Schizosaccharomyces pombe: one gene and its partners. Each later gene encodes a partner of the first gene's protein in a complex. Each region holds a gene or a part of one and is shown in the gene's direction. Other genes may lie near its edges.

Evidence for each region.
Region 2: cnd3 (region 1) and cnd1 share a complex: the UniProt entries of both Schizosaccharomyces pombe proteins name them as parts of the condensin complex.
Region 3: cnd3 (region 1) and cut14 share a complex: the UniProt entries of both Schizosaccharomyces pombe proteins name them as parts of the condensin complex.
Region 4: cnd3 (region 1) and cut3 share a complex: the UniProt entries of both Schizosaccharomyces pombe proteins name them as parts of the condensin complex.

Annotation. Positions count from the first base shown.
Region 1 is NC_003421.2:1,475,539-1,483,416, forward strand, and holds cnd3 (condensin complex non-SMC subunit Cnd3), read left to right. Parts: upstream 1-2,664; 5' UTR 2,665-2,765; coding exon 2,766-4,679; exon of another isoform or gene 4,680-4,719; coding exon 4,720-4,851; exon of another isoform or gene 4,852-4,911; coding exon 4,912-5,140; exon of another isoform or gene 5,141-5,188; coding exon 5,189-5,298; exon of another isoform or gene 5,299-5,360; coding exon 5,361-5,603; coding exon of another isoform or gene 5,604-5,742; 3' UTR 5,743-5,806; coding exon of another isoform or gene 5,807-6,220; 3' UTR 6,221-6,268; downstream 6,269-7,878. Other genes in the region: serine/threonine protein phosphatase PP2A regulatory subunit B-56 Par1, read left to right, coding at 239-262, 306-401, 442-655, 987-1,741, 1,794-2,092, 2,182-2,440; Ndc80 complex subunit Spc25, read right to left, coding at 5,600-5,742, 5,807-6,220, 6,269-6,428; signal recognition particle subunit Srp54, read right to left, coding at 7,550-7,878. UniProt on the Schizosaccharomyces pombe protein: Regulatory subunit of the condensin complex, a complex required for conversion of interphase chromatin into mitotic-like condense chromosomes.
Region 2 is NC_003423.3:3,197,398-3,205,553, forward strand, and holds cnd1 (condensin complex non-SMC subunit Cnd1), read left to right. Parts: upstream 1-2,690; 5' UTR 2,691-2,740; coding exon 2,741-2,855; exon of another isoform or gene 2,856-2,925; coding exon 2,926-3,004; exon of another isoform or gene 3,005-3,029; intron 3,030-3,095; coding exon 3,096-6,378; 3' UTR 6,379-6,589; downstream 6,590-8,156. Other genes in the region: Dbf4(Dfp1)-dependent protein kinase Hsk1, read right to left, coding at 1-382, 446-1,291, 1,350-1,578; phospholipid--diacylglycerol acyltransferase Plh1, read left to right, coding at 7,051-8,034, 8,080-8,149. UniProt on the Schizosaccharomyces pombe protein: Regulatory subunit of the condensin complex, a complex required for conversion of interphase chromatin into mitotic-like condense chromosomes.
Region 3 is NC_003423.3:2,876,472-2,884,278, reverse strand, and holds cut14 (condensin complex SMC subunit Smc2), read left to right. Parts: upstream 1-2,910; coding exon 2,911-6,429; 3' UTR 6,430-6,592; downstream 6,593-7,807. Other genes in the region: SPOM_SPBP4H10.07 (ubiquitin-protein ligase E3), read right to left, coding at 723-2,474; S-adenosylmethionine decarboxylase proenzyme Spe2, read left to right, coding at 6,910-7,807. UniProt on the Schizosaccharomyces pombe protein: Central component of the condensin complex, a complex required for conversion of interphase chromatin into mitotic-like condense chromosomes.
Region 4 is NC_003423.3:1,000,952-1,009,517, reverse strand, and holds cut3 (condensin complex SMC subunit Smc4), read left to right. Parts: upstream 1-2,994; 5' UTR 2,995-3,054; coding exon 3,055-7,029; 3' UTR 7,030-7,255; downstream 7,256-8,566. Other genes in the region: protein Cwf25, read left to right, coding at 1-719; erv2 (sulfhydryl oxidase), read right to left, coding at 922-1,500; SPOM_SPBC146.02 (uncharacterized protein), read right to left, coding at 7,716-8,507. UniProt on the Schizosaccharomyces pombe protein: Central component of the condensin complex, a complex required for conversion of interphase chromatin into mitotic-like condense chromosomes.

The DNA of each region.
Region 1 (7,878 bases):
CGGTATTTCCTCGACCGGATCTCCACCTGTCGGTACATTCCAAAAAAGCAGTAAAAGTGTTAAATTCTCAGAAAGCGGCTGAATTTTCTTCGAAAATTTTGCTATTTAGAAGCGCCTTTACGGTTATATAAGAGCTGCTAAACAGCTTCAAATTGAACTCCCTTTGTCTCCAAATTTGTAGGCTTGTTTTGAAAGCTTCAAAGAAGAAAGGGTTGGAGCGCTCCAAATAGCCCTCAAGATGAAAGGGATTAAAAGCAAAATGGTAAGATCCATATCTAGTGTTTATTTGATTAACCAGAATCTAGCTTTCTCGAGGGAAATCTCAAGATACCCAGAAGTCTAGCAAGAAGAAGGAAAGCAAAAAATCGAATTCCCATGACTCTAGCAAGGCTCCGAAAGAGGTACGGAAAAGGTTTTTACTTACTTTTAACATTTTCATAGTCTCCCTCGACGGATCCCAATGGTTCTGTGATTGGTGCCCAAAACGACTTTCTTACTGTTCCAAAACATTCAGGAAAGAAAGTACCTATTGATACCACACCAACTCCTAGAGATGAGATCTTATTAGAGAATGTCAGGACTGTTCGTAAACAACGTTCATCCCTTTACCATATATCTGAAAATCGAAACCTGGTCCGTCTTCCATCCTTTACTGGTATGTTTTATGGATACACTTCATTGATTGTTTTAAGTAGTTATAAAAGATTTTGTTTCTTATTAGAATGTCATGAAATTGGATGGTGTTCAATGCGGCACATGCTGGTGTCGCTTGTGGATTTACTGTTCAGCTTGATGTGTCTGATATCGAAAAAGGAATCCTTCCATTTTTTCTCACATTTCATTTTATTTTACTAAGAGATGATTTAAACCACAAACATTGAATAGGATTTTCTTTCTGATTTAATGTACTTGGTGTTGACAAACACTGAGGTGTTATCAATATACTTTGTTGTCAACCAATTTAATTTACTAACCTGTCTATTTAGATGTTCCTGTTAATAAATGGCACTCTCTGGCGTTGGAAAAATTAGAACAATGTTGCGTTGTTTTCGATTTCAACGATCCCTCCACCGATCTTTACGGAAAAGAAGTGAAGCGAGAGGCTCTTCAAGATCTCATTGATTTAATATCTGTTCGAAAGGAAGCAATTGATGAGTCATTGTATCCATCCATTGTTCATATGTTTGCAGTAAATGTGTTTCGTCCTTTACCTCCTCCTTCTAATCCTCCCGGTGAAATCATGGATCTTGAAGAAGATGAGCCGGCTTTGGAAGTTGCTTGGCCCCATCTTCACCTTGTTTACGATTTTTTCTTAAGATTTTTTGAATCTCCGTCTTTGAATACATCCGTAGCCAAGGTGTATATTAATCAAAAATTTATTAGGAAATTACTTGTATTGTTCGACAGCGAAGATCCTAGGGAACGTGATTTTCTAAAGACTACACTTCATAGAATATACGGAAAGTTTCTTTCTCTTCGTGCGTTCATAAGGCGCTCAATTAATAATTTATTTTTGCAGTTTGTCTATGAGAACGAGCAATTTAATGGTATTGCCGAACTGTTGGAAATCCTCGGGAGTATCATTAATGGATTTGCCCTACCACTAAAAGAGGAACACAAAATATTCTTGTCACGTGTTCTTATTCCTTTACATAAAGCCAAATCCCTTCCCCTTTATTACCCTCAAATTGCTTATGGAATTGTTCAATTTGTTGAAAAGGATTCATCTGTTACAGAAGAGGTATGTATATTTCCTAGTGTTTCTTACGTTTTATCTAACGATGACAATATAGGTTGTCTTGGGCTTACTTCGATACTGGCCGAAAGTAAATAGCTCAAAAGAAGTCTTATTTTTAAATGAAATTGAAGATATTATTGAAGTGATGGAACCTTCAGAGTTTTTAAAGATCCAGGTGCCGCTCTTCCACAAGTTGGCAACATCCATATCTAGCCAAAATTTCCAAGTTGCTGAAAGAGCTTTATATTTTTTTAACAACGACTATTTCGTGCATTTGGTTGAAGAAAACGTTGACATTATACTACCAATTATATATCCCGCACTCTTTGAAATTTCAAAAAGTCACTGGAATAGGTAAGTAGTTACTCATTTAAAATCCCTTTTTATTTTCTTTATTTAAGATAAAGAAAGTGGTTTATTAGTTCTTGCTGACGTTTTGTTAGAGTTATACATTCTATGGTTTGTAACGTCTTAAAATTGTTCATGGACATTAATCCTTCTTTATTCGATGAAGTTGATGCTGAGTATTCTGAGAGTCGTCGGAAAAAAGAAGATGAAGAAATTATACGAGAAGAAAGATGGACTATACTAGAAAACATCGCTAAAGAGAATGCTATGAAACTTAAATCTCAAAACCCTACTACTGTGCACTCTACTACTGAGAGACTAAAAAAACTTTCACTTGACTACACCAATGGTTAGGACTTGCATATTTTAATAATGATCCATATATTGTACTTAGTCTCTAATATTCCCTCTTTTACATTTTACATACTATATCATTTTCAGTTAGTATTTCCTTTTCTTTTAATTGATTGTAATAAAATATAAATCGGTAACTTGGTAGCAATCTTCTTTTCAAATTGAATGTTGCAATCTCAAGTGGGCCTAAGCTAGAAGGGTTCATTTTTTTGTTTGCATACCCCAGCTTAACCTACCACTGAGAGCCAACTGTAGGTATGCCAGTGAGGTGCTCCTCAACTTCAGCAAAAGCACTAAAATTGGCATAATATAATTGTTATTGAATATGTCTTGCATTCAAATTATTTCATCTAGTCAAACTTCAATTGCTGGTCATAGAAAGCTATGCAACAAATTGTTTACCCTACGGACGCAGGAAGGATTTGAAACCGACATCCTAAGGGCGCTAAATATTATATTAACTGTTAAAAAAGGAAACTCAAATGCTGACCGCGTTTTGAGGTTCCTAGTAACCTTTGTTAATTACCTTCAGCAGAAGGATCCTGAGATAGACATTGTTCAACCTATCTTAAAACATATACTTCGTGGGTTAGATGCCAAAGATAAAACTGTAAGATATCGTTGCTGCCAAATTATTGCCAGAGTGGTTAATTGTGTAAAAGAAATTGATGATGACCTTTACAATACCCTCAAAGAAAAGCTTTTGTCCAGAGTTTTAGACCGGGAATCGATAGTCCGCCTTGAAGCTGTTGTTGCTTTATCTCGGCTTCAAGAAGACACCGGTGACGAAGAAAACGATGTTCGAAATATTCTTTTATTTTTATTGCAAAACGATCCTAGCTCTGAAGTGCGAAGGTCTGTTCTTTTAAATATTGAAGTTAGCAACTCAACTCTCCCTTTTATTCTTGAAAGAGCACGCGATGTTGATGCTGCCAATCGAAAATGTGTCTATGCCCGAGTATTACCGAAAATAGGAGATTTTCGTTATTTAAGCATAAAGAAGAGAGTAAGGATATTGAAATGGGGATTAAATGATCGTGATGAATCTGTTGAAAAAGCCGCGGCTGATATGCTTGCATATCAGTGGATTGAAAACGCTGATAACAATCTTTTGGAACTTCTAGAGAGACTTGATGTGTCTAACAACTCTGATGTTGCAGTTTTAGCAATTAAAAAATTCTTTGATGTACGCGTGGATAGTTTGTCTCAGCTGGAATTCCCCGAACAATTTTGGTTAGAGCTTACAGCTGAGTCTTCCTTGCTTGCTAGGACATTCAATGAAATTTGTATAGAGAAAAATTACACTGACCTTTTGGATAAAATGCCTGAAGTTGTTCAACTTACATATTATATCGAAAGGCAGTATGTTTCTCTTAGAGACAAGTCTTCTTATGATGAGTCATGTTTTATAATTGAACAACTGTTATACATTGGTCTAAGCCAGGACATGGTTGATGAAATTGGTCGCAGAAAGCTTTTAAAGAGTCTTACAAATAGTCTTTCTACTATGGCCCTTCCAGATTCACTAATCTCTTTACATATAGAACTATTAAGGAAACTTTGCTCTTCTGAAAACGATTTTTGCTCATTGCTAGTTGAAATTATTACGGAGGTGTTTGAACAAGGACATTCACAAAACCAGACTGAGGAACAAGGGAACAGCAATGCTCCAGAACTGAATAAAAATGATTATGAGGGTGAGGAGATTACTGTTTCGCAAAAGTCACCATCTCCATCTTTACCACCTAATGAACTAAATGAGCCTGAACCTGACGACATGGATGGATATAAAGAAGCTTTTAATGAGTTAAGATGCCTTTCGTACGTTCAGTGTCTATTTGAAAACATCACATCCTCCTTAAATGAAAACTTATATATGGTAGACATGCTTAAGACTTTAATTATCCCGGCTGTGAGGAGCCATGACTTGCCAATTAGAGAAAAAGGATTAGAGTGTCTTAGTTTGGTTTGCTTGTTGAATGCTGATCTTGCATTTGAAAACGTTCCTTTGTATTTACATTGTTACGAGAAAGGTTCTGTGGTTTTAAAGTGTACCGCAATTCGTACATTGACTGATATGTTAATACAACATGGAAAAGCCAAGTTCACCGAATATGAAGATGCTATTTCTTCTATACTTTTTGAAGCTTTAGGGGAATTCGAAAATGCCGAATTACAGACTCTCGGTGCTGAGGCGATAGCCAAGTTGTTGGTAATATTGCATTACAGAGACGAACTGGTATGTTGCTGTGTTTTTATAACTTACTTACAACAACTAGTTTCTAAAACCCCTCATCATTCAATATTTTGAGCCTAACACAGTTGATAATCATGCGCTACGGCAAGTTCTTGGCTATTTCTTTCCTGTTTATGCCTTTGGTGCACACGAGAATCAATGGCGAATAGCTACTGTAAGGAAAATTATCATTATTTTTTATTGAACAAACAATAGATAATTAACAGCATTTTAGATATTCTGCGATGCACTATTAAGCTTATTAGAAATATACCGCGATCTTGATGAAGATGATGTTCAATTAAGCATAGGACACATAGCTCAGCAAATGTTAGATTGGACTGACAACGAAAAGTTGTATGAAAGAAAAACACAAACAGGAGATGATTATATCGCTTTAAATCATAATGTACATCTACATTTAGCAAACATGATTTTTGAGTCGTTACCTAATGCTTCTGAAGGTGGGGATTAAATACAAGAAACGACATTAATACTAACAACAAATGTAGGAAAAGAGAGAAAATTTATGATATCCTTATTGGGGAAGCTTAAAATCCCTACTGACTTGCCTTCATCAGATTATCAGAGGACAAAACGCAAATTAGAAACATACGAGAGTGTAAGTTAATACTAATTCAGCGAGAATTATTCAAAATGGTTCTTTCAACTAATAATGTATAGCATGGTTTCACCATGGATTCCACCAGTTTGAGCATACTTGCGAAATTTGAAAGGATGTTGCTTCAAAACGAAGAAGCTAGATCCAAATTTGAAGAAACAGAAGAAGAAAGATTAATGGAAAATGCTGAAGAGAATGAACATGCTGGAGCTGAAGCCATATCTGGCGAAATTATTCCTGATACAGTGGAAGCCAACATGGAAGACGAGGAGGAAGTTTATGTTAAACAAGAAGAAGATCTTTAAATCAATTGAGACAGATCCTTTCTATGAAGTTCACGGAATCCCTTCCGCATATCTTTCAGAAACTGATAAAAGTCTCTAGTGCGATTAACCTTGTTTACCAAATCATCAACATGTGGTAGAGGTGGATGACAATGCACGACTGAAGGGATTAGTTTAAGCTCAAATCTAAATAATAATTTTTTTAATCCCAAAAGATTTCTTACCTTTATAATCCCTTTCAGCAAGATTGATTTGAAATGAAAATTGTTTGTTCCAATCTTTTTCATCAATGTTTGTAAATATAAATCTGATGACTTCGTCATGAACTCCTTCCATTTTCAAGCCCAAATAATCTTCCCAAAATTTAAGCTCTGGATTATTATAAGAATCCTGTTTCCGTTTCGCCTCCATCTCTTGAGCCCTCAACTCTCTTTTGGACGAGATGATTGCGCGGTAATGATCAAGTTCCTCAGAGAGCTTTTGTTTCCTTTTCAACATTGCATCAAGCTTTTCTTGAAACGAAAATATTTCCTGTTCTGTAATAGCTTGCTCCTCATGCTCTTTTTCTAATAATTCCGTAAAATTCTGTTTTCGAGCCTCAGTTTGCTCAAGGCTTTTCTCTGCCTTCTTTTGTGCCTCTAGATCAATGTTAACTTAAAAAAGCAGAGTAATCACTATAAACGTACCATTAATTTCAGATAATTGACGCAAATATTCATTTTTGTTATTCAGAAGCTTCTTTCTCTCTTCTTGCAAGAATCGATCGAAGATGCTGTTGAAATTCGAAATTTTTGATTTCAAACTATCGTAATCAAGTTCTATCGTTGGAAAGTTTGCCAAAGACATAGAAGAAAATGATTTTCTCTAAAGTAGAGTGCTCAATGTTATGCTAATCGAAAGATGTGTGTTAATAAAACCAGAATATAAAAAATTTCTAATTCATGTCAATTTTATATATTCTATAAATCGTATTGTAGGAAATAAATCTAATAGATTGTTTGGTGGCTTTTATTTAGCAAAAGCTTTGGTTCCACTAAAAGTCATAGGCATTTATTCGAGACTTGCAATTTCACGGCATAAAGCAATAAAACCGTTTAATTTCTCCTTATGTTTAAAGCTAATAGATAGTAAAACTTATTTTGATTTTATATAAACACACTACAGGATTTGATGGTAGGGATTTAATCATTTCAACCATTTACGCTTCATTGTGAAACAGGTATTTGAACCATAAGCTTGACATTACTACTTTTAAGTGCCATTCATTTTTCGCTCAATTCTTTAATGTTGTAAGTACAAATCGTTCTAATTACATTTGTCTCAAGACTCGGTTAAAACACCATTTCTTTCAACGAATATATTAAAATTCATGCTTCTATAGAATCTTCCACTTAAGTTCATCTCTGCATTCTGTTCAAATATAGCTTCCAGTTGCCGTTAGTTCTAATTTATGCTTTCTACGTACAAGCCTTTTGGCCTATTTTTAGGTATCCTTCATTGTTCAAACTAGTAATTAGATTAATAAAGCACAAATTTGAAACTTTCAAGAAGCTTTTTCATGTGATTGCATAGAATGAGAAAACCCAAAACTTAATCCTAATCGGCTAAAAAACTATGTTCTCAATACACTACCATTATTAATATACAATAAATCCAATTCTCATTTTACGAAGCAAGAGCAATTAACATAAGCTAACCGAGCTCTTAAGAAATCTGCAAATAATTGTCGAGAGCAATCATACAAGGATGCTTCACGTTTACGGTTTAGCAAACTTTGCTAGCTCTTCAGTAGAAATAGAAACAAATTTTACACAATTATAAAAGCAAACGTTAAGTAATTAGGGAAAGAAAAAGGAAAACGAGAAGGACGATGAATTTTTAATGCATATATTTTTATAAAACAGTAAATAAGGTATTAGAGTAAAATATGCCATATGTGAGTACATTATAATAACGAGGGAAGTAAACTAACGTCTTCGAGGAGGCTTTTGCATATTTTGAAATTGATTGAGCATACCGCTGAAATCCATACCACCTGCCCCTCCGGGACCTCCGCCTCCCATCAACATGTTAGCCATTTTTGAAATATCACCAAAGTTCATAGAACCTGGATTGAGGCCAGGCATTCCTCCCCCCATACCCATGGCTTGCATTCTTTTCTGCATAGCTGCAAGTTGACGAGGGTCTTTTTTGAGAGCTGCGGCTGGATTTCCACCAAGTTTACCCAAAATTCCATCTTTTCCTCCTATCTTTTTCGCCATTTGCGCAAATACTCGGACCTGAGAAATGGTTTCTT
Region 2 (8,156 bases), on another chromosome or scaffold:
GAAGTAGGTTCATCTGTTTCTTCCTGCTCTTTAAAATCAAGGATATGGGATAAGTGCTTAGCAGTTAAGTCTTCGTCTTTCTCGAAAGAGGTTTCTCCAAAGCTATTATCAAAAGCTGTATCGTCATCTTTCTTTTCGTAAGCTAAATTATCGAGATACAAGAAATCGTGATCCAATGCTTCCTCAGCTGAAATCCTTTTGTTACAGTCAAGTTCAAGACATTTCTCTAAAAAATCCAGGCACAATCGCTCTTCTTGGCTTGGTTTATGACGAAGCTTTTCTTTGTATATACTGGCTGAACCACAACTGGCCCACAAAATAAGTTTCCTAAAGTTTACTCTTTTTTCTGTAAGCGTGCTTACATTTGTCTCAAACGTACAACCTGGCAGGTTAGCGAAAAAAATCAACACAAACACTTCCGTAAGGGACATTAGATCGTTCTTACCGTGTAAAGCAGCACATTGGCGCATTTCGCTTTTTCCAAATATACATGCTATCTCCATGAGTGCATCCACGTCGTCCTTTGAATTAAACATGGGGAAACGTTTAGTAAGGAAAGATAACAAAATAACCCCAGCAGACCAAATATCAACTTTGGGTGATTGAGATGAGCATTTAAACAATACTTCAGGTGCTCGAAATCCTCGAGTTCCGGCTCTATTGGCCCGTTTGCTTGGTCGAGTATCGTTTTTTATGTATCCAAGAGATGTTTCCTGCGCAATCGAAAAATCATGTGCTAATTCGGCCGCATTTGAATTAGTGCACCGGCAAGAATGTGATTGTTGTCTTCCATCATAACGCTCTGCTAATCCAAAGTCAACTAAGACACCATGCTTGGTACGAACATCGAAGAGAAAGTTACTAGGCTTAATGTCTCTATGAATGATTCCCAAAGTCTGAGTTTGCTGCATAGCTTGAAAAAGGCATCGAAAATAAATGCTCATATCGCGATAGGAAAAAGTGCTATAATATTGACGAAAGTCAGTATGCTCGTAGTAGGGTAAAACTACGAGTACCTGATCTTCATTTCTTAAAGCAGTTATTAGCGGGGCTATTACCGACGATCCCCTTAATAAATATAGGATTTCTAATTCATTGTATATTCTAGCAGGACTACTTGTCGCGTAAATTTTTTTTATAGCAACGTACTTCGGTTTCCGGCTGTCTTCATTAACAGGAATTTTTTCTTTTCCAAAAGAAGATTCCTTTAACACTTCACTTTGAATGTCCCAATCATTAATATACCTCCCATAATGTAGGTCTTCCGCTTTATATACACTGGAGAACGTACCTAAACGAATTAGCAAGATAGTTTCAAAACAGTACTAAAAACGGTAATTGAAGTTTACCTTCTCCAATTTTTTCAATTAGCCGATAGTTCTCTTGTAGCTCTACGAACGTCCTTGTGATATTTTCAATTTCTTCGCGGTCTCGTGCAGGGATATCTTGAATCATTTCTTGAGATTTGTTTTCGTTTACATTTTCATCGTCCACCTCAGTGATTTCACATTCAGAATCAATATCTGTTTGTTGTTCATGAGTTACTTTAGGTGATAGTGTGATATGGGCCTCTGCCATGTTAACGGTTTAACTCATATATTTTTAAACCAAATAATAACTTAAAAAAAATTAAAAGAGTCGTCAATTAAATGGTAAAATGCTGCCAAGGGAAGGAACCAAGAAAAAACAAATTTTCACGTATTTTAAACCTTCAAACCGAACACGCGAACGAATACTAAGATTCAAAAAAATCAAGTTTTTAAAATGTGTAACACAAACTCATTCCATGAATATAAGAATTTGCAGATTCCAGGTTCAACACCAGTTGTACATTGTTAAGCAAAATGCTCTTCTAATGAGGGACATTGTTACTTCCAAACAAGAAAAATACATTTTTAATCCAACTTTTGTTTAATAAAAAAAGTACTCTGCTATAATATTTGTATACTTATGGAAAAGATTAAGATTTCATGTCCTTTATCTTTTTTTAAATTTAGGACTTGCTTTAAAAAACATAAATCCTTTGGGCTCTTGTTATTGTTAATAACCACCATAAACAACTAGAATTGACTATTTATTGGACATTGAGAGTAAATATGATTAACCATGGTATTCAAACACGTTTTTTTTTTCTGTTATTTAAAAATAAATAAAAAAATTATCCTGAATTTGAAATTTATTCCTAGTTAAACTACGATAGGTTTTCTGTTTAGTTTATTGTGTATTACTTTAAAATTCTAAAAACAGCACAAATGCTTACCTCGTCAAAATTTGCATTCATAATAATTTTGAAAATCACCTTGAAAATGATACATGCGCCAAAATAAATTATAAGTTTTTATATCAGAAATACAGCTCAAGAAAGAATTTACAACTAACGTTATTCAAAAAATATATTAAATTCTTTTCAAAACATTTAATTAGAAGTACTAAAAAGAACAATAGCTTTTACGTGGCACGCTCAATAAAAGTTAATTAAAATATTATTTTTTAATGTAAACAAATGAGTTAATAAAAGCACGTTCTATATCCTTAAAGTGGTTAGCAACAATTAAGTCTAGCTCCTATTTTATATTTTGACTAACCGTAGCTCTTTTTTGTTAGTAAGAAAGTATAAATGGACCCCCACACAGGACATATAGGTGGGGTTATTGTTTACAAGGACTACTAGAATGTAGTACGCCAAATCCATCTTTTATTTCATTCGTAACATAGAAAGATTCGGCTTTCAGTGGCCTCAATGTCGTTGGATCTTCTTTCTAGATTAAAGAAATACATTCATGATGAAGAAAATTCCGACTTGGACTCGATTTATGCTGAATGTGAAAATGCTGGATTGACAGCCGTGGTTAACGGTATGGACATTTGGGTTTTTAAAAAAATTGAAAATGATCGATTCCACAATAACTAACAATGAAAAATTAGACGTCATTGATACCCTTTTATTAGGAACGAGTTCTTGTTTCGACGAGGATTGCTTGGAAAAACTCTTTGCTATATGTTCGTAAGTAGTTGTTATTTTGTGTTATTCAAATAGAAGGAAGCCATTTGGTTTACTATATATCAATTTTACCAAACTAACAATAATGGTTTAGACACTTTGCTGACCTCTCTTCCTCTGTAAGGAATAAAGTATATGATTTACTCACGAGTAATATCAGCTCTGAATCCGCTATTCTTGAAGATATGATTTCCGCAAATGCTACTGATTTTACTGTACCTCAAACGAATTTAGAAACTACAGGCATTGCATTTCAGCTCACGGTCAATTCCCTTTCTTCCTCAAATCAACTTTCAGTTATTCGGTCATCCACTAATACTGTTAAGGGAAGAAAAAAAAATCCAACTACTAACTCTAACTGGAATGGTATCTCACATGTAAATGCTTTGTTAGATGCAATCATAACATTATTTCAAAAAAAATTATCTCGTGTATGGACTACTTCTTCGGAAAGAGACATGTTTCTTTCACTTTTCCTAAAACCAATATACACGTTAATGGAAAGTGAAATTAACATAAAAAATGCTTCTTTCCGTTCTCGTTTATTTAATATTATCGGGCTTGCTGTTCAATTCCATAACCATACCACTGCAGCGGAGACAAATATTATTCAAAATTTACAATACTTTGAGCATTTATCTGAGTATGCTGCTGATCTTGTTCATATTGTTACCGTTCAGTTTAATTCCGTTACCTTGGCTGAAGGAATTATTCGAACATTGTGCTCTCTAGAATTTAATGATAACGATGTTAAAGGTCCCAAGCAAGTCGCTTTGTTTCTTGTCCGTCTTTCTTCACTTATTCCAAACTTATGTTTGAAACAGCTTACTCAATTAGTTAAGCTGCTTGATTCGGAATCATATACTCTGAGATGCGCTATCATAGAAGTACTTGCTAATGTGGTCATTGATCAAATTCATGATGAGGCTCAAAATGAAATGTCAGAGTCAGTGCCAGCAACTGTTCAAAGCTTAATGGATCTTCTCAGTGAGCGATTACTAGATATAAGCCCTTACTGTCGTACTAAAGTACTTCACGTCTTTATCAAAATATTTGATTTACCAATTAAGTATCCCAGAAAACGTCAAGAAATCGCGGAACTCGTGATCAGATGTTTGCAAGATCGGTCAAGTCATGTCCGCCGAAATGCAATTAAGTTATTTTCTAAACTTTTAACTACCCATCCTTTTTCAGTTATGCACAATGGCTTACTAACCAGAAATATTTGGGAGAAAGGATTATCTATCATCGAGGAACAGCTTAATTCTTTACAACCAAAGCAACAAGAAAAGGTGGTAGATTCAGAGCTTGAAGTCGATGAAAACTTATTAGAGGATGCTACTATGATCCAAGATGATGAGTCACATGAAGGAGAAAGTCACTTGGAAAATTCTCTAAGCGAATATGTCGATTCTGTTCCTGCTGAGGAAATAGTCAAAGTGAATTTAACGAAACGGTTTTATTTAGAAGCACTCCAATATATAGACATTGTGGAAGCGGGAGCAAAAATAATAAGCCAGTTGTTGTTTGCTAAAAATAAGAGCGAGGTAATTGAGTCAATGGATTTCTTTGTTTTTTGCAATTCTTTTGGAATTTCGTCTTCAAAATTATATATAAAAAAAATGATTCATTTAATTTGGGTAAAAGGAACCTCCGACGAAGGGAACAACATTCAGAACCATGTATTGTCATGTTATAAAACATTATTTTTTGAGCCACCTCCGAACTCTGGTACCAACGAAGCCGCAAACTATATTGCGAGAAATCTTATTTCATTAACATATGATGCTAGCCTTGCTGAGCTTACATCACTTGAACAGATGCTTTGCATTTTGATGAAAGATGGGTATTTTTCACATCTAGTCATAACAAAACTATGGCAAGTATACAGTTATCAAAAGAAGGATATATCTCGAACACAACGTAGAGGATCCATCATAGTAATTGGAATGCTAGCATTAGGCAATACCGATGTTGTCATGCAGGGCTTGGATCATCTTATTCAAATAGGACTTGGTCCCCCTGGTTTGGAGGATTTAGTTCTTGCAAGGTACACATGTATAGCGATTAAACGTATTGGCAAAGATGCGTCTGGTTCTTCTAATATTAATTTTCCAAATTCGCATACGCTTTGTCAAAAATTATGTATGCTTTTACTTCGACCATCGTTCTCTGAAGAGTGGTTTGGGTTAGAAGAGCAAGCTATTGAGGCTATATATGCAGTTGCCAAACATCCTGACGAACTTTGTACCAACATTATTTTGCTTTTGACGAAACAACTCTTCAAACCTTCCAATCATGAGAATACTACCAGTAACGATGATCATGCAATGGACGAAGATTTAGATGATTCTCCAGAAGAAGAAACATTAAAAGATGAGGAAGAAATAGGTATACGACTGGCGCACTTAATATTTTTAGTAGGCCATGTCGCGATTAAACAATTAGTCTATATCGAATATTGTGAGGCAGAGTTCAAACGGCGAAAAGCGGACGCCGAGAGATTGGCCGTACAGAACTCAAATAATCCTATAAATGGGCAAGAAACTTCTGAATATGATTTAATTACGGGAACAAGTGAAGATGATTTTTCAGAAGCAATGACATTTATTCGTGAAAGGGAGTTGCTCTATGGTGAGAATTCTTTACTTTCGAGATTTGCTCCATTGGTAGTAGAATTGTGCTCAAATCATAAATCGCACAATAATCAAAGCCTTTTACTAGCTGCTTCTCTGACTTTGTCCAAATTTATGTGTCTTTCTAACAATTTTTGTATGGAACATCTTCCATTGTTAATAACCATTCTGGAGAAATGTGATAATCCGATTATTCGAAACAACTTAGTAATCGGGTTAGCAGATTTAACTGTTTGTTTCAATCATTTTATTGATGAAATATCCGAATACTTATATAGAAGACTGATGGATGAAGAGTCTTCTGTCAAAAAGACATGCTTTATGACTCTAGCATTTTTGATTTTAGCTGGTCAAATAAAAGTAAAGGGCCAGCTGGGTATTATGGCTCGTTCTTTGGAAGACGAAGATGCTCGAATTTCTGATCTTGCTCGAATGTTTTTTACTGATTTTGCAGCCAAGGATAATTCTGTATATAATAACTTTATTGATATCTTCAGTGTATTATCTAGAAGTGCAGAGGAGCAGGATGAGGACGACGCTAAGTTTAAGCGTATCATTCGTTTCTTGACGTCCTTTATTGAAAAAGAAAGACATACCAAGCAATTAGCCGAACGTCTGGCTGCTCGTCTTGATCGGTGTAAAACTCAACGTCAATGGGATCATGTGGTGTATGCACTTTCTTTGCTTCCTCATAAAGCCGATAATATTCAAAAGCTCATTGACGATGGATATCATGAATAAAGTCAATTCTAATGCTTTATCTTACATATTCAAAATCCTTTGTATATTAGTATTGCCTAATTAAAAAGAAGAATGACGGTATACCTTTTTTATAACGAATTGAATGTTAATAACTATAACTTCATTGATCTACAACACCCATTATTTGCAACAATTAAACAATTCAAGCGCAAGTTAAGGTAATTTAGTTATTAGCTAAGTAATTTGCACATTCTAGCTGGGTCATTAATTATTTTTTGTGCTTATGAAGAAGATTTAACTTTACCCTAGAAAACTATTCACCTTCATTAACTGCTAAGTAAAACTGAGGAACTCTTCTCAATTTTAGGCTGTATCAAATATTGGTAAATTACATACTTGAACAGAGATCATTTTTTGGAACTGTCATCATCCTCTCAGGCTAGAAGTTTTGATAATAAATATAATCGGCATATACTGAGTATAAGTGCATTGTAACGTAACTCAGTTTAACTAGAAATAAGGTATTTCAAACTTTTAGACACTAAATCAAAATACAATTGTAGAAGGAAACCGATATTAAACGTGTTTCTAAAGCAACTTAACGCTCACTTCGTTATCACTCCTGCTGTAGAACTATGACAGTAAGGACTTCGCTTACTTATCGAATGTTTGGCAGTTGCTGCTCAAGCAATTCATATTTTAAAGTTAACTATGGCGTCTTCCAAGAAGAGCAAAACTCATAAGAAAAAGAAAGAAGTCAAATCTCCTATCGACTTACCAAATTCAAAGAAACCAACTCGCGCTTTGAGTGAGCAACCTTCAGCGTCCGAAACACAATCTGTTTCAAATAAATCAAGAAAATCTAAATTTGGAAAAAGATTGAATTTTATATTGGGCGCTATTTTGGGAATATGCGGTGCTTTTTTTTTCGCTGTTGGAGACGACAATGCTGTTTTCGACCCTGCTACGTTAGATAAATTTGGGAATATGCTAGGCTCTTCAGACTTGTTTGATGACATTAAAGGATATTTATCTTATAATGTGTTTAAGGATGCACCTTTTACTACGGACAAGCCTTCGCAGTCTCCTAGCGGAAATGAAGTTCAAGTTGGTCTTGATATGTACAATGAGGGATATCGAAGTGACCATCCTGTTATTATGGTTCCTGGTGTTATCAGCTCAGGATTAGAAAGTTGGTCGTTTAATAATTGCTCGATTCCTTACTTTAGGAAACGTCTTTGGGGTAGCTGGTCTATGCTGAAGGCAATGTTCCTTGACAAGCAATGCTGGCTTGAACATTTAATGCTTGATAAAAAAACCGGCTTGGATCCGAAGGGAATTAAGCTGCGAGCAGCTCAGGGGTTTGAAGCAGCTGATTTTTTTATCACGGGCTATTGGATTTGGAGTAAAGTAATTGAAAACCTTGCTGCAATTGGTTATGAGCCTAATAACATGTTAAGTGCTTCTTACGATTGGCGGTTATCATATGCAAATTTAGAGGAACGTGATAAATATTTTTCAAAGTTAAAAATGTTCATTGAGTACAGCAACATTGTACATAAGAAAAAGGTAGTGTTGATTTCTCACTCCATGGGTTCACAGGTTACGTACTATTTTTTTAAGTGGGTTGAAGCTGAGGGCTACGGAAATGGTGGACCGACTTGGGTTAATGATCATATTGAAGCATTTATAAATGTGAGTCTCGATGGTTGTTTGACTACGTTTCTAACTTTTGAATAGATATCGGGATCTTTGATTGGAGCACCCAAAACAGTGGCAGCGCTTTTATCGGGTGAAATGAAAGATACAGGTATTGT
Region 3 (7,807 bases), on another chromosome or scaffold:
GCAAACTATGATAAGTTGCGTTACATTCCGTTCTCCCCTATTGGGTATTAGAAAATATACTTCCCAAGCTGTGCTTCGAATTTAAATGGATTTTAAACAGTTAACATGATTTTACATACAAACTTCATACTTATTGCTTTAATAGTAGATGATGCGAAGTCAACAACAGTTTTTTGTTATTGAATAAATTGACAAGCCGTATATCAAGTAGACCATTGTTACTTAGCTTTATTAAGAAATAAACAAACGCATTGAAAACGTAAAAAGTTAGGCAACATTTTTCACTTGAAGCAAAGTTAGGCATAAAATCAGATATAAAATTATACAAAGTGAAAAACTGATCAATATAGGATATAAATAATCCAAGGAATATTAAATAGGCCTCATTGTAGAAACCATTTTCCGAGACTGGGTGTTGAAAATAGCAAGATGATCAGTCCATCAATGGAGTCTACCTTACCATAGAAAATTCATCATATAAACAAACAAAAATAATGGAAAACAGAAAAGGAAACAAGCCCGTTTTGGCTTTATAAGCTATGCTTTAAGGATCGTCAGGTCGAGAGGAAGGGTTGTGACATGCCCTTTTAAATTCTCATAGCTAAAAGGAAACAAGGAACATTAATAAAATATATGGGTAAATACATTCAAAATCGTTTTGGTGGAAGGAATCCGAAAAGTTTTTAAAGCAACAAAATTGTCATGATGATTGATCATGTTGATTATGGCTTGGGAGAGGACGGAGTAGATGCTGAAGCAACACCTTTAGTACGACACAGGGGGCATGAATTTTGGCTTGAAGTTAACCACTGATCTATGCATTCACGATGAAAAAAATGATTGCATTGTTTAAGACGGCGACACTCATCGTTCAACTCAAAATTTGATAGACAAACAAGGCATCTTTCATCGGTTCCCGAAAAAGGGAATACACCACCTGCCTTTTCAAGGTCTTTTTGTGAAGCCACTGGCGGCTTTTCAATACCGATAATAGAATTCAATAAAAGCATGTCCTCGTACGTTGGTGAATCAGTAAACAGTGAAGGTGCTCTCAAAACAGGATGATTTTGAGGTACAAAAGCTTCTCGAACGTATATGGCCCAGCTTCTGGGCAATTGGTGGTCCGTTTGCGAATTATTATTTCTAGTTTCAGGTGCTTGTTGAGTGGAGGATCCATTATTATCGGAAATCCCATTTACGTCTGTAGCAGTAGAAGCTTGCTCGTCTTCGGAAATATGTTCTGCCTCATTAACATTTTCATTTGGCCCCGTATTATCACTAACGGACGTTGTCTGATTTTGCGAGTTAACAAGTGAAGATATCAAATCAGAAGGATGCATTAAAGTTGGGGAATCGGCACTTGGTTGATCATCTTCATCACTTCCTGAATTTCTTAGACTTCGGATGCCAACTATTATAATCGGGATTACTTCTTGACCTTCATGATTTCGGTGTAAATTGTCAAATCTAAAAGTTCGAAAAAGGTTTATAGGACCAGATTCTTCTTCAAGATCCACAGCATTTGCAATTAGTTCTGCAGTCCTAGGATTAGTTTCTGCGTTCATCGCCTGCACCAGATTACCAGCGTGCAAAAGCGATAAAAATTCATCGAAAGCAACATTTCCAGATTCCACATTTCCAGAAATTGAAGAAGGAAATTCTAAATTGTTTGATTGATGTGCACTCGAAGAATTCATCAGTACACTAACCCAACCAGACGCTACTGAAAACACAAATCGAGAAAGCATGACTAGTTGACTTTCTTCTGGAGAAACAGATGCTTGTTGAGTATTTTCACTATTATTAATATAGTTCATTACCGCACGAGTATAGTCCTCCATATTTGAGTCCGCTAGAGAAGTGACAGATCTTACCGGCAATCTTCCAATTGCAGTTCCCGGAGATTCTAAATTATTTACAGAGCCATGATCCTGCATTTCCTGTCCACCGCTCGAACTGACGTTTTCATCTTCATGATTCGATGCCAACGTAGACTGATTGTTTTGGGTATTTAAATTGCGTAAAGCAGCAATACTAGAACGAAATCTTCTAGCAGCACGTTCAAATTCCTGTTGGTGATTTTCAAGGATTAACCTGTCTGTTTGAGGTATTGCAGATGTTTGTGATTCGCCTTCTATACGAGAGCGAGGAGTAGCTGGTGTAGCTGGTGGACTTAACGACCTTAGAGAAGGAGAATTCCTATTCAAAAGCGAACCACGGTAGCGAGAACGAAAAGCCGATCTTTCAGTAGTTCTATCACGATTACCATTTTCCGAATTGCCTTCATCGTTACGATGCCGCTTTGCTCTTCGAAGACCTAAGACTCGCTGCAAAGAGGGAAAACGATTCCACAGCCTACTAAAGCCAGAATTTTGTCGATCTGAATCATTAATGTTTTCACTTTCTGATGAAACCGCCTGCATACTTGCGTCCCTTTGAATTTGCCGACTGGGAATGGATTCACCTTGCCCCATTTGTGTAGTGAGTGCAGTACTGATTATCAAATATAGTTAAATAACAGAAAAGATAAAATATATGTTTTAAATTAAAAAGAATTTAAACAAGTTACTTGAAAGTATTAAAATACATAAACTAATAAATCTAAAATGTTAATAGCGGTAAGCTTTTTGCATACTAAGCATCATTACGTAGTTTAACGTTGCGGTAAATGTTATTAGAGTAGTCGCACTCTTTTATATCTACTATGAAGTCTTATTTCACCTTTAATGCTTTAAACGACAAACAGCTTTAATCATTTTTACACTAAACAGCAAACAGTTCGGACTGAAATGTACTGCTGAAGATTTATCTCCCTCTAGGAAATACTTTACAAGTCAATCAGTTTTTTGAATTCTAGTCTTAAATACTTGGGCTTCAGTAAACAAACAGAACGAGAAATTTACTGAAGAAATGAAAATAGAGGAACTCATCATTGATGGTTTCAAATCATATGCTGTGCGAACTGTCATTAGCAATTGGGATGACCAATTTAATGCTATAACGGGCCTCAATGGGTCTGGAAAAAGTAATATATTAGATGCAATATGCTTTGTCTTGGGAATTACGAATATGTCGACTGTCCGTGCCCAGAATTTACAGGACTTAATTTACAAACGCGGACAGGCAGGAATAACCAGAGCTAGCGTTACCATTGTGTTTAATAATCGGGATCCTGCGTCTTCACCAATTGGTTTCGAGAATCACCCGCAAGTAAGCGTTACAAGACAAATTATCATGGGCGGTACAAGCAAATATTTGATTAATGGACATAGAGCTCTGCAACAGAATGTTCAAAATTTGTTCCAGTCTGTTCAGTTAAATATTAATAATCCTAATTTTTTAATTATGCAAGGTCGAATCACCAAGGTTCTTAATATGAAGGCTACTGAAATTTTATCAATGATTGAAGAAGCCTCTGGTACTCGAATGTTTGAAGAAAGGAAAGAAAAGGCTTTTCGAACAATGCAACGAAAAGAAGCAAAGGTTGAGGAGATTAATACACTGTTAAGAGAGGAAATCGAACCCCGACTTACCAAACTTCGTACAGAAAAAAAAACTTTTCTAGAATATCAACATATTTATAATGACTTGGAACGATTAAGCCATCTTTGTACTGCTTACGACTATTATAAGTTGTCACTTAAAGTGGAGGAATTAACGGTTCAAGCATCCCAGAAGCACAGCCATATCGCCGAGATGGAATCTTCATTACAAACATCGAAACAGGAGGTTTTAATACTAAAGGAAAAGATTAAAAAAATTGAAGATGAGCGAATGAGACAAATGAGTGTTTCTTCGGATCGTACCTTGGACTCTCAGTTACAAACTGTTAATGAAAACATCACCAGAATAAGCACGTCGATAGAATTAAAGAATACAGCTTTAGAGGAAGAGCATGGGGACCTTCAACAAATTCGTGGAAAAGCTAAGGAATTAGAAACTTTGTTGCGCGGAAAAAGGAAACGACTAGATGAAGTGCTTAGTGTATACGAAAAAAGGAAAGATGAACATCAAAGTATTTCAAAGGATTTCAAGTCTCAAGAAGAGCTAATTTCATCACTTACAACTGGTCTTTCCACTACAGAAGGTCATGAAACTGGCTATTCTAGAAAACTACACGAAGCTCGAGATACGTTGAATGACTTTAAAGCTGAAAAAGAAACCAATCGATTAAAGCTTGAAGGACTCAATAAACAAATATCTTTAACTAAACCTAAGAAGGCTGAGGCTACAAAACGATGTGATCAACTCAATCGCGAAATCGATATATTACAAAACCATGTTGAGAAGCTTAAAATGTCTTTAAAAAATACAAATTCCGACATTACAGGTGAAGATGTACTCCAGCAAAAGTTGAAGCAACTTGCTAAAGATCGCGGCAATTTGTTAAATGAACTTGATGCTTTAAAAAGCAAACTTGCTTATATGGAATTTACTTATACCGACCCTACTCCTAATTTTGATCGCTCAAAGGTGAAAGGATTGGTGGCTCAATTGCTAACCTTGAATGAAGAGAATTATGACAAGCAAACTGCATTAGAAATTACAGCTGGTGGCCGCCTTTATAATCTCATTGTTGAAACCGAGAAAATTGGTGCACAATTGCTTCAAAAAGGAAACCTGAAGAGGAGAGTTACTATTATTCCCCTCAACAAAATTACCAGCTTCGTAGCTTCAGCAGAGAGAGTAGGCGCAGCCAAAAAAATTTCTAATAATAAAGCCCAACTTGCTTTGGAATTAATCGGTTATGACGATGAGCTTTTGCCTGCAATGCAGTATGTTTTTGGCTCCACATTAGTCTGTGATACCCCTGAATCGGCAAAGAAAGTTACCTTTCATCCTTCAGTTAAATTAAAAAGTGTCACGCTTGATGGTGATGTTTATGACCCATCTGGTACCCTTACTGGTGGGTCTGTGAATAAATCTGCCGGTCCTTTACTACAGATACAAAAGCTGAACAGTCTGCAGCTAAAATTGCAAGTAGTTACTTCAGAATATGAAAAGTTGGAGACTCAACTTAAAGACTTAAAGACTCAAAATGCCAATTTTCATCGACTTGAGCAAGAAATTCAACTAAAGCAACATGAATTAACACTTTTGATAGAGCAAAGAGAGACCGACTCATCTTTTCGTCTTTTATCTGATTATCAGCAGTACAAAGACGACGTTAAAGATCTCAAGCAAAGGCTTCCTGAATTAGACAGACTTATATTGCAAAGTGACCAAGCTATAAAAAAAATTGAACGAGACATGCAAGAATGGAAACATAACAAGGGATCAAAAATGGCTGAATTGGAAAAGGAGTTTAATCAATACAAGCACAAGTTAGACGAGTTTACTCCTATATTGGAAAAGTCCGAGAATGACTATAATGGCGTTAAACTCGAATGTGAACAATTAGAAGGCGAATTGCAAAACCATCAGCAATCTCTCGTACAAGGTGAATCGACCACGAGTTTAATAAAGACGGAAATTGCAGAACTTGAGCTGTCACTTGTTAATGAGGAGCATAATCGAAAGAAACTCACCGAACTAATAGAAATTGAAAGCGCCAAGTTTTCTGGACTTAACAAAGAGATAGATTCACTCAGTACCTCAATGAAAACATTCGAATCTGAAATAAACAATGGGGAGCTAACAATTCAAAAGCTGAACCACGAGTTTGACCGATTAGAGCGAGAAAAATCAGTTGCTATAACTGCTATTAATCATTTGGAAAAGGAAAATGATTGGATAGATGGACAGAAACAGCACTTTGGTAAGCAAGGAACCATTTTCGATTTTCACTCTCAAAACATGCGTCAGTGTAGAGAGCAGTTACATAATTTGAAACCGCGATTTGCTAGTATGCGTAAAGCTATTAATCCCAAGGTTATGGACATGATTGACGGTGTAGAAAAGAAAGAAGCCAAATTGCGCTCTATGATAAAGACCATTCATCGCGATAAGAAAAAGATCCAAGATACTGTCAAAAGTATTGATCGGTTTAAAAGGAGTGCCTTAGAAAAAACCTGGAGAGAAGTCAATTCTTCTTTCGGTGAAATTTTTGACGAACTACTTCCTGGTAATAGTGCAGAACTACAGCCACCAGAGAATAAAGAATTCACTGATGGATTGGAAATTCATGTAAAAATTGGGTCAATTTGGAAAGATAGTCTGGCAGAACTTAGTGGTGGACAAAGGTCTCTAGTTGCATTGGCTCTTATTATGTCTCTACTTAAATATAAGCCTGCTCCAATGTACATTTTAGATGAAATTGACGCGGCGCTCGATTTAAGTCATACCCAAAACATTGGAAGACTTATTAAAACAAAGTTTAAAGGTTCTCAGTTTATTATTGTTAGCCTTAAAGAAGGAATGTTTACCAATGCTAATCGACTATTTCATGTACGATTTATGGACGGATCATCTGTGGTACAAGCTCGCTAATTTGAACGTAAACACTTGAATTATACGCGCATGTATAGTCCTACTATTTACTATCACCGATGTCTTAATTTATTTAAAGAATATTTCTACCAATCATTAAAAACAAGACTTTTGGTTCTTTAAAGTTGTTTGTGCCGCTAATGAAACTTAGACTACGGTATGTATCATATGTATAAAATATCGTAAACTCATCATTTCCAAATTTATTATTAGCGTCGATGTCATTTGTAGCATATTCAAAAATATTTAGGGTAGGGTTTTAAAATTTTGATCGATACAGGATGTTTCTGTGGTTATGTATTTAGCCTCAACATCATATAAAATTGGTGCGACAGCCGCAATTAAGTTATTATTTGTATGCTTTTTTGCTAATAAATATCCTAAAAGTGTAACTGGAGCAACTAGCTAGTACGTGTTTTGGGAATTACACTCACAGCGCACATATAGCATTGGAAGTTCTTTGTATGACTATATTCTAAAATGTCTCCTACCCTTGTTGTTGATCAAGAGAATTCGGAAGAATTTAACACCTCCTCATTTGAAGGTCCTGAAAAATTGCTGGAACTATGGTTTTCGGCTCCTATAAAAACCAATTTAAGTGCGGGTGAAAAGGCTAACTTGGGACTAAAAGCTGTTTCTCGCAATGATTGGGATGATATGCTAGCCCAAGCCCAATGTAAAGTCCTCAGCGTTGTTAATAGTGAAGAAATAGATGCATATTTACTTTCTGAATCCTCTATGTTTGTGTTTGCCCATAAAATTATCCTTAAAACATGCGGAACCACTACACTACTGGCTAGTTTGCCTCGCCTATTAGAAATTGCTTCTAGTGTTGGCTTTGATCGTCCTCTTCGTATTTTTTACTCAAGAAAAAACTTTTTATATCCCGAACGCCAGCTTGCACCACATACGAGTTGGGAGGAAGAAGTTCGTTACTTACAACTGTTTTTTCCAAGTGGATGCTCTTATGTAGTGGGTCCGACAAACAAGAATCACTGGCATCTGTTTTCTGATCTGGCTGATGATTATTCTTTACTGGAAGATTCCCTTGATCCTGAAGATGAGACCCTAGAGGTACTCATGACTGATATGTCTCCCGAACGCTCGCTTCAGTTTTACGCTCCATCCTTGGATGTTGTTCGGAGCGCTAGAGGTGATGACTATGTTCGAGAAAAAAACAATCTCTCGGGGGGTCACATCCTTGGCAGTTATGTAGCTGATGAATCGGGTGTTAGAGACTTATGTAGTACCTCTGATAAAAAAGCAGTGCTTGATGCTTTTCAATTTGAGCCAATTGGGTTCTCGTCGAATATGATTTACAAGGACCGCTATGCCACAATCCATGTTACGCCTCAAGAACATTGTTCTTATGCTTCAT
Region 4 (8,566 bases), on another chromosome or scaffold:
CTTTACTTGCAATCAAGCAACAAGAACAAAAACAACTACAAACGCTTATGGAAAAAAGGAAATACTCTTTAGACTCTGATAGAAAGTCGAAAGAACGGCGGCACCGCGATCGTCATCATCGAAGCAATCAAGACAGAAGCAGGGAAAGGTCAGATAATGAACAACATTCTTCTGACAAAAGGGAGCATTCAAGAAGAAGCTACCGTAATGACCGAAATAATTGGAGAGAACGCACACACAATGATCGCTATCGGCATCGAGATAAATATGACTCTGGTTATTTCAAGAAACATTACGATGATGATATGCGCTTTGATCAGGGTCATTTTCAAGATGAAAGAGACCTAAAAAAATATGTGCGAACAAGCAGACAATATTCTCGTTCACCATCTCCGGATTTCAGGACTCGAAATCACCAATTTCATTCTCGAGACTCGCAACCTATCACTCAAAGGCATACCGATATAGAAAGCCGTTTACAGAAAATGCAAGACAATGCTAAGGAATTAGATGAGTCACGAAGAAAAAAAATTGAACTATTGGAAAAGAAAGAAAGAGATGAAGAACAGTTTTTGGAAAAAGAGAGACGCGATACCGCAAGAAAATGGGATAACCAAGGAGATTTTATCAGAAATATGAGAAAAGAGATCTACTCTGGTGATTCTGTAAGCTTGGCAGATCGTGTGAATAGTAGCCGACATAACATGTTAAGGCCGTAACGTGATTTCTATGTTTTTTCTAATATAACTTTGATGCATAACGATATAACATTTCTGAATAATGAGTGGAAATGACGGTGGTAAACAGTTGAACATATCAGTTTAGGGTTCATTAAATAAATAGCTTAACATCCAAATGCATTGCATGATAGACGGTAATATTTTTTAATAATACATGAATTCTTAAAATTAACCATTGTTATCAACCAGAATAGTCGTGATCTTCGTTAATTACTTGTACCCGTTCAGGAACATTTTCAGCTTCGCTTTCGCGATAGGTCGGCGATCCGATTACATATCTCTCATTAAATCCATCGCATGATGTCTTTGGTTGATTCATTTTCTCATTTAATTGATTGTGTACTTTGCAAGCCCACGTAGTTGCTGCTTTTCGAGAACTTGTTTGTGGAGGATGTACATCTAGTATCTTTTGGAGTTCCACAGAGTATTCACCACATGGCATTGTAATAGCGGAAGAAAATAGATAATGTCTTAAGATATCTCGCTCATCTAATGTTGGTCTGTTTGGATAATTGGAAACAACCGTATGAATTAACTTCCAGTATGCATTTACCATTAAATTATTCGTGTTATTATCGTGCTTCGTGGACATCATCTCAATTGGTTTTCTACCTTGACCTTCTCGATCCGGAAGCGATTTAATTTCAGGCATAAACAGACGCCAATCTTTGTCTACCATAACACTGTGAAAGATCCATATAATAAACGATAAGATTAGTAGGGTAGGGAGAATCACCTGAATTCTTCTATTAAGGATCATGTTTTATAGTATTTAGCTACTTCGTTTTCCCCGTAAGAACACCTTCATCTACCAAATTAATTGTAAAGGAGAACTGCAAGGACAGAAACTCACGCGGCTTTTTTGATCTGATATGCGGCATCGCTATGTTGCAATAACGAGAAGGAATTGATGGTAAACAAAACTAACCTCCTGGGTTATACAGAGCGAGTGCATCGTTATATCTAATGCTAATTAACAGAAAAACTTTTAAAGTAGTAAGATGGAACAGGCTGCTGGATGATCCAATGCATTACCAAATTGATTTAGATAAATGTATTGCCAACCCTTTAATTTTTTTTTTAGATATTAAATATCTTTTATATCAATTCTATATGCTTTTTATTTTAAGACTCAGAAGAGTTTTAATTATAAGTATAGTTAATAGTTAATAAATATGTAGTTTAGTGATAGAGATATAACCAAATAACAACAAAAAAATTAACTAAAGTATCATTATTATAAAGTCCATTGCTAGGTTTTATCACTATAAAATTTTTTTTAAGTTTGGAATTATTTACTAAAAAAAAGAAACTTAACGTAAATAAATAAAAACTAAGAGGACTTGTTAGTTTTTGTTTAAAAAATAAATAAATAAATAAAGAAGGAAGAGTTTAGCTAAGTTATCAAGTGAGCATAGATAGCATATAATAATCTATGTTTACAGATTTAAATGTTTTAAAGATAAATTACTTGCAATTGCTTGAAGATATGAATTTGCGTTTGATTAGTTTAAATCAAAATGTAAGAATTTTGGGTTAAATTAACATATGGCAAAAGGCTTGTCAAGTTTAAAGCTAAAAAAATACAAAACAATAGTGAATTTGAAAAGTTGTTCTAAAAAACTTGGACAAATCGTTTCCTTGCATTAACATTTCATTTAAAGAGCTAATCTATTTATATTACTTACTGATTATTCTTTATTCGTGGTTATTTCACACATAGGGCTACCCAAACAAGGTAAATTTTTGCGTCGTCTTGCTAGATTTAATGAAGGAATACAGAACAAAAAATCTTTGAGCTTTATATTTATTGTGTGAATTGAAAGAGGATGTTTGCTTGTGCTAGTAAAAACTTAGAAACAGCAATGTATTCTGCTCGTCCTTTTAATATTTTGCTAGTGTAAAGTGTCAGAGCAATATTCTCTTTTACTTAATTTTCGTTTTGAGTTAACTTTCAACGTCCAAGAATACCAAATTGACTAGCATAATAATTTAATGTATAATAGACACATGAGTTTATAATTACAGGTAAAAAGATGTTTGAAGTCTTCCTTTAAATCAGGTGTGTAGGTATAAAATAAATAGATCATTTTCATCTAACATGACCTGTTTACACAATTATACTTCAGTCTTTAGTTTATAAACATGGGCTTTAGTGTAATTTAACTGTGGGTTTTTGTATATTTTATTCATTAATTGACTTCATCGTTGGGTGAAATGCTGTTCAACCGTTGTAAACAACACACCTCTTTTCACGACCACCCACTCTTTTAGAATTTTAAGTAATATATAATTTGTTGAAGATACTATCTTTATGTCTGACAAGGGCATCTTTCGAACGTCTTCAACACCCTCGATTGTGGATGTTACGCCAGATCGTGGTGAAAGGCCACGAAAGTTGGTTCGCTCAGTGCTAGAATCTCCTTCTCAGAAAGATGTCGCATCAATTGTCAAGATAGAGCAAACACCATCTCGCCCATTTTTCAATGACTTTTTAAAAAAAAGAATTACCGATTCTTTAAACGAACGCCCTAATTTGCTCAACAAATTTATGTCTGCTCAAGATGGCACTCCATCTAAATCAACAGGTTTCAATGAACGGAGTTCACAACTTGTGTCAGAATTTACTACTACAGAGGATATTGAGAATTGTGAAGAAACCACTCAGGTTCTTCCTCCTAGACTGGTTGTTTACGAGCTACGCCTAACAAATTTTAAATCATATGCAGGAACTCAGATAGTGGGTCCGTTTCATCCTTCTTTTTCTTCAATTGTTGGACCAAATGGCTCTGGGAAATCTAATGTTATCGATGCTTTACTTTTTGTTTTCGGTTTTCGTGCTAGTAAACTTAGGCAATCCAAAGCGTCTGCCTTAATTCATAAATCTGCAACTCATCCTTCTCTCGATAGTTGTGATGTCGAAATTACTTTTAAAGAGGTAAACTCTGACTTTACTTATGTTGATGGAAGCGAACTAACAGTTCGTCGTACTGCTTATAAAAATAATACTAGTAAATACTTTGTAAATGGGGTTGAGAGTTCCTTTTCTGCAGTTTCTAATCTTTTAAAGGAGAAAGGAATAGACTTGAATCATAAGAGATTTTTAATTCTTCAAGGAGAAGTCGAATCAATAGCGCAAATGAAGCCCCGGGCTATATCAGAAGGTGATGATGGTCTTCTTGAATATCTTGAAGATATCATCGGAACCTCGAAATATAAGCCAATTATAGAAGAGAATATGCAAGAACTTTCGAATTCTGATGATATCTGTGCTGAGAAAGAATCTCGTTTAAAACTGGTGCTCTCTGAAAAGGCGAAATTAGAAGATAGCAAAAATTCGGTTCTTTCTTTTCTCAAAGACGAAAATGAGTTGTTTATGAAACAGAATCAGCTTTACCGTACTATTCTATACGAAACACGCAATAAAAAGACGTTAGTTCAAAACTTGCTTAATAGTTTGGAAGGAAAATTACAAGCACATTTAGAGAAATTTGAACAAACCGAGCGAGATATTTCGGAAAAAAATGAAGAGGTTAAATCATTGCGTGAAAAGGCAGCAAAAGTAAAAAACGATTGTACTTCAGAGAAGAAAACTCGCCAGTCTTATGAACAACAGACTGTGAAGATTGAAGAGCAGTTAAAATTTTTACTTAATAAAGAAAAAAAGTTAAAGAAATCCATTGAGGCTCTTTCATTCGAAAAATCAGAAGCAGAAAATTCTTTAAGCTCTCATGATATTGATTCCCAAAAGTTGAATTCTGAAATTGCCGATCTCAGTTTAAGACTTCAACAGGAAGAATTGAGTTTGGATGACATTAGGAAAAGTCTACAGGGAAAAACGGAAGGTATTTCAAATGCTATTGAAGAAAAGCAAAAGGCTATGGCTCCCGCCCTCGAGAAAATAAACCAATTGACATCAGAAAAACAAATTTTACAGGTTGAGTTGGATATGTTATTAAATAAAGAAAATGATCTAATTAACGATGTTGAGTCCTCTCAATCTTCGCTTGATAAACTGCGTAATGATGCAGAAGAAAATCGGAATATCCTGTCTTCTAAGCTTAAAGTGCTTTCCGACCTAAAAGGAGAGAAGAAAGATGTTAGTAAGAACATTGAAAGAAAGAAGGAAACTGTTCACAATACTTACCGAAATCTTATGTCAAACAGAACAAAGTTGGAGGAGATGAAAGCTTCTTTAAGTTCTTCTAGATCTCGTGGAAATGTGTTAGAAAGTCTTCAAAGACTTCATGAATCTGATAATTTAAATGGTTTCTTTGGACGTCTTGGTGATTTGGCTACAATTGACGAGGCTTATGATGTGGCCATTTCAACTGCCTGTCCTGCTTTAAATCATATTGTAGTTGACAATATTGAAACTGGACAGAAATGTGTGGCTTTTCTGCGCTCCAATAACCTAGGCCGTGCTAGTTTTATTATTCTCAAAGAACTGGCGCAGAAAAATTTAGCTCGTATCCAAACACCTGAGAATGTTCCCCGGCTCTTCGACTTACTTCGGTTTAATGATCAGAAATTCGCTCCTGCGTTTTATAACGTTTTGCAGAATACCTTAGTTGCTAAAAATTTGGAACAGGCTAATAGAATTGCGTATGGCAAAACACGTTGGAGAGTTGTTACACTAAGTGGTCAGTTAATTGATAAATCGGGCACAATGACTGGAGGTGGTACTCGAGTAAAGAAAGGCGGAATGTCCTCAGCTATAACGAGTGATGTATCGCCGGCTTCAGTTGAGACTTGTGATAAACAAGTGCAACTAGAAGACACTCGATATCGCCAACACCTAAGTGAGCTGGAGAGCCTTAATCAGCGATTTACTGAAATTTCGGAACGTATTCCATCGGCGGAACTAGAGATTTCAAAGCTGCAGCTTGACGTTTCTGCTTGTGATAGATTGGTAGCTGGAGAAGAGAGGCGAATCTTGCAGCTTAAATCCGATTTAAAAAGTATTAGAAACAACAATGAACGTAAACGGAATCTCCAAAACAAAATATCAAATATGGACAAGGAAGTTGAGGCCATAAATATTAACAATGAAGGCCTTGTCACTGAAATTAAGACGTTACAAGATAAGATCATGGAAATAGGTGGGATTCGATATCGTATACAAAAATCAAAGGTCGACGATTTGCATGAGCAACTCAAATTTGTTAAAGACAAGCTTAACAAAATGAGTTTCAAGAAGAAGAAGAATGAGCAACGCAGTCAATCTTTCCAAGTTGAACTATCAAACCTTACTAGCGAGTACGATACAACTACTGAAAGTATAGCCACTTTAAAGACTGAACTACAATCGTTAAACAAGTATGTGGATGAACACAAATCTCGGCTCCGCGAATTTGAAAATGCTCTATGGGACATCAATTCCTCTATCGACGAACTAGTAAAATTTATTGAATTTGAATCTAAGCAAATGAATTCCGTTAAAGCAGAAAGGATTGAATTGGAAAATCAAATTCAAGAGCAGCGTACGGCATTATCAGAGGTCGGCAATAATGAAAATAAATATTTAAAGCTCATGTCAAATCTGAAGTTACACAATTTGACTGAATTTTGTGACCAGACAACAATGGACTCAACTTTTCCCGAATATTCTGAAGATGAACTGAGTTCAGTTGATAAAAGCGAGCTGGTCTCTAATATTTCAGTCTTGAAAAAGAAAACTGAAGACAGAGAAGTAGATATCAATGTTTTGTCTGAATATCGTAGATGTAACAAGGAAGCAGAAAAGCGTGATTCTGATTACCAAAGTGAATTGCAAAAAAGAACCGATTTGAAAAAAGTCGTTACAGATCTTCAATCTCAGAGGCTCGATGAGTTTATGTACGGATTTGGAATTATATCTATGAAGCTTAAAGAAATGTATCAAATTATTACTATGGGCGGAAACGCAGAGCTTGAGTTAGTGGATAGTTTGGATCCGTTTTCTGAGGGGGTATTGTTTAGTGTGATGCCTCCCAAAAAATCTTGGAAGAACATATCTAACCTTTCGGGAGGAGAGAAGACGTTAAGTTCTCTAGCCCTTGTCTTTGCTCTACATAATTACAAACCGACTCCTTTATACGTTATGGACGAAATCGATGCTGCATTAGACTTTAAAAACGTTTCGATTGTTGCGAATTACATTAAGGAAAGAACTAAAAACGCGCAGTTTATTGTTATTTCTTTAAGAAGTAATATGTTTGAGTTATCTTCTCGTTTGGTTGGCATTTATAAAACGGCGAATATGACTAAGAGTGTCACAATCAACAACAAGGAAATACTTACAGATTAACTGCACATTCAAATAAAAACGTAGAAAATTGGAAACTAGATATTTAATAATTTACGAATTTTTGGCTACTGAATGTCAGTGTTTCATAATTCACAGTGTGCATACTAATAAATCTATGTTATGAGAAGATTAAACTAATTTAGTTTTGTGGCACCCAGTTTATGTTAATGTTTCAGAAATCTGTTTATGAACGTAATAGGACTACAAATATATAAAATTAATCTTCACTCGCTTTTAAAGCCTGTAAAATCTGCGCAAAGGAATTGTATATAATTAAATATGTTGTTTACATCATCAATTTCAGAAGGTATCTACAATTTGTAGTTACATAGTATAATATTTTAGTGGGTAATGCTTTTAAAGATTTATTGCAATCGTATGCATACCATATAGAACGTATCCAATTTTAAGTAATTTAATTTTATGGTAGTAAATTAAGAATAATTAGAAACAAACAATAAATTAGATTAAACAATATGAGTCGTAAACTTAAATAGGAAATCTCAATGCACACGACGAGATAAATGAAAGACCAATTAACAAGAAAAATGCAAATGATAAAAGCTTTCCAGCTAATAAGAGATAGGAGGACTAAGGAAGAAAGTAATGAAGGAAATAAATGAATGTTAATTACCACATGGCTAGCACCATGTAGCCTAACATGGAGCATCTGAGTAACACTTATTTTATAGCCAGTCGCACTGATGGTGTTCCCACCCATTAAACTCAGTCAAACCCAGGTGCTGAATTTTCCTCTTCGATTTCGATCGGTTTCTTTTAAAGGACAAGCTTGATTCGCCTTTCACAGCAGATTTAAGACGAGAATACGCATCAGAAACTCGGGAAGTAACATTTCTTTTAGAAGGTGTTCTGTCTATTAGTCCCTTGCGAGAGGAAACTTCTTCAATATCGAAAAACTCTATATCATTTGCAGAATTTTTTAAAGTGCTTTTACTACTCCTTCTATTGGCTCGTTTTTGAGCAACAAGCTTCTGAATTGCGGCGCATTCTAATCTGTATTGCGAATTGCTAAGTTCCTCACCAAGTGCACCTCTTGCAAGCCGTGCAGGGGAGGATGGTGAGGCATAACGACTATGGTTTGAAGAAAGACCAAAACCCTGCTTTCCAACGCTGTTTAGCTGTTTCGAAACCGAATATTTATGAAATCTTAACTTTAATGGAGAGATTGGTGAAAGTAAAGGACTTGAATCACCAATGGAGTTCGATGCCGCTTCCAACAGCCATGGCGAATGCTGCGAAATGTTTTTGTCCCAAGGTGATACTGGCGACTTTAACTCTTTATATATGGCATTGATCAGTTCGTCAGATATATGATGTGATAGCTTCAGTGAATTAGAGGTGCTATCTCCAGAACTTGACCTTGTTCTATCGCTTTGATCATCACTGCCATCAATGAAACAGCTGGTTTTTATATTATGGAGTTGCAAGGTTGCTGGTTTTTTCCTTATACCATTCATTGTAAGTTTAAAAGCAATTAATCTGCTTGATAAAAAAATTAATTGACTATTTTGTACTT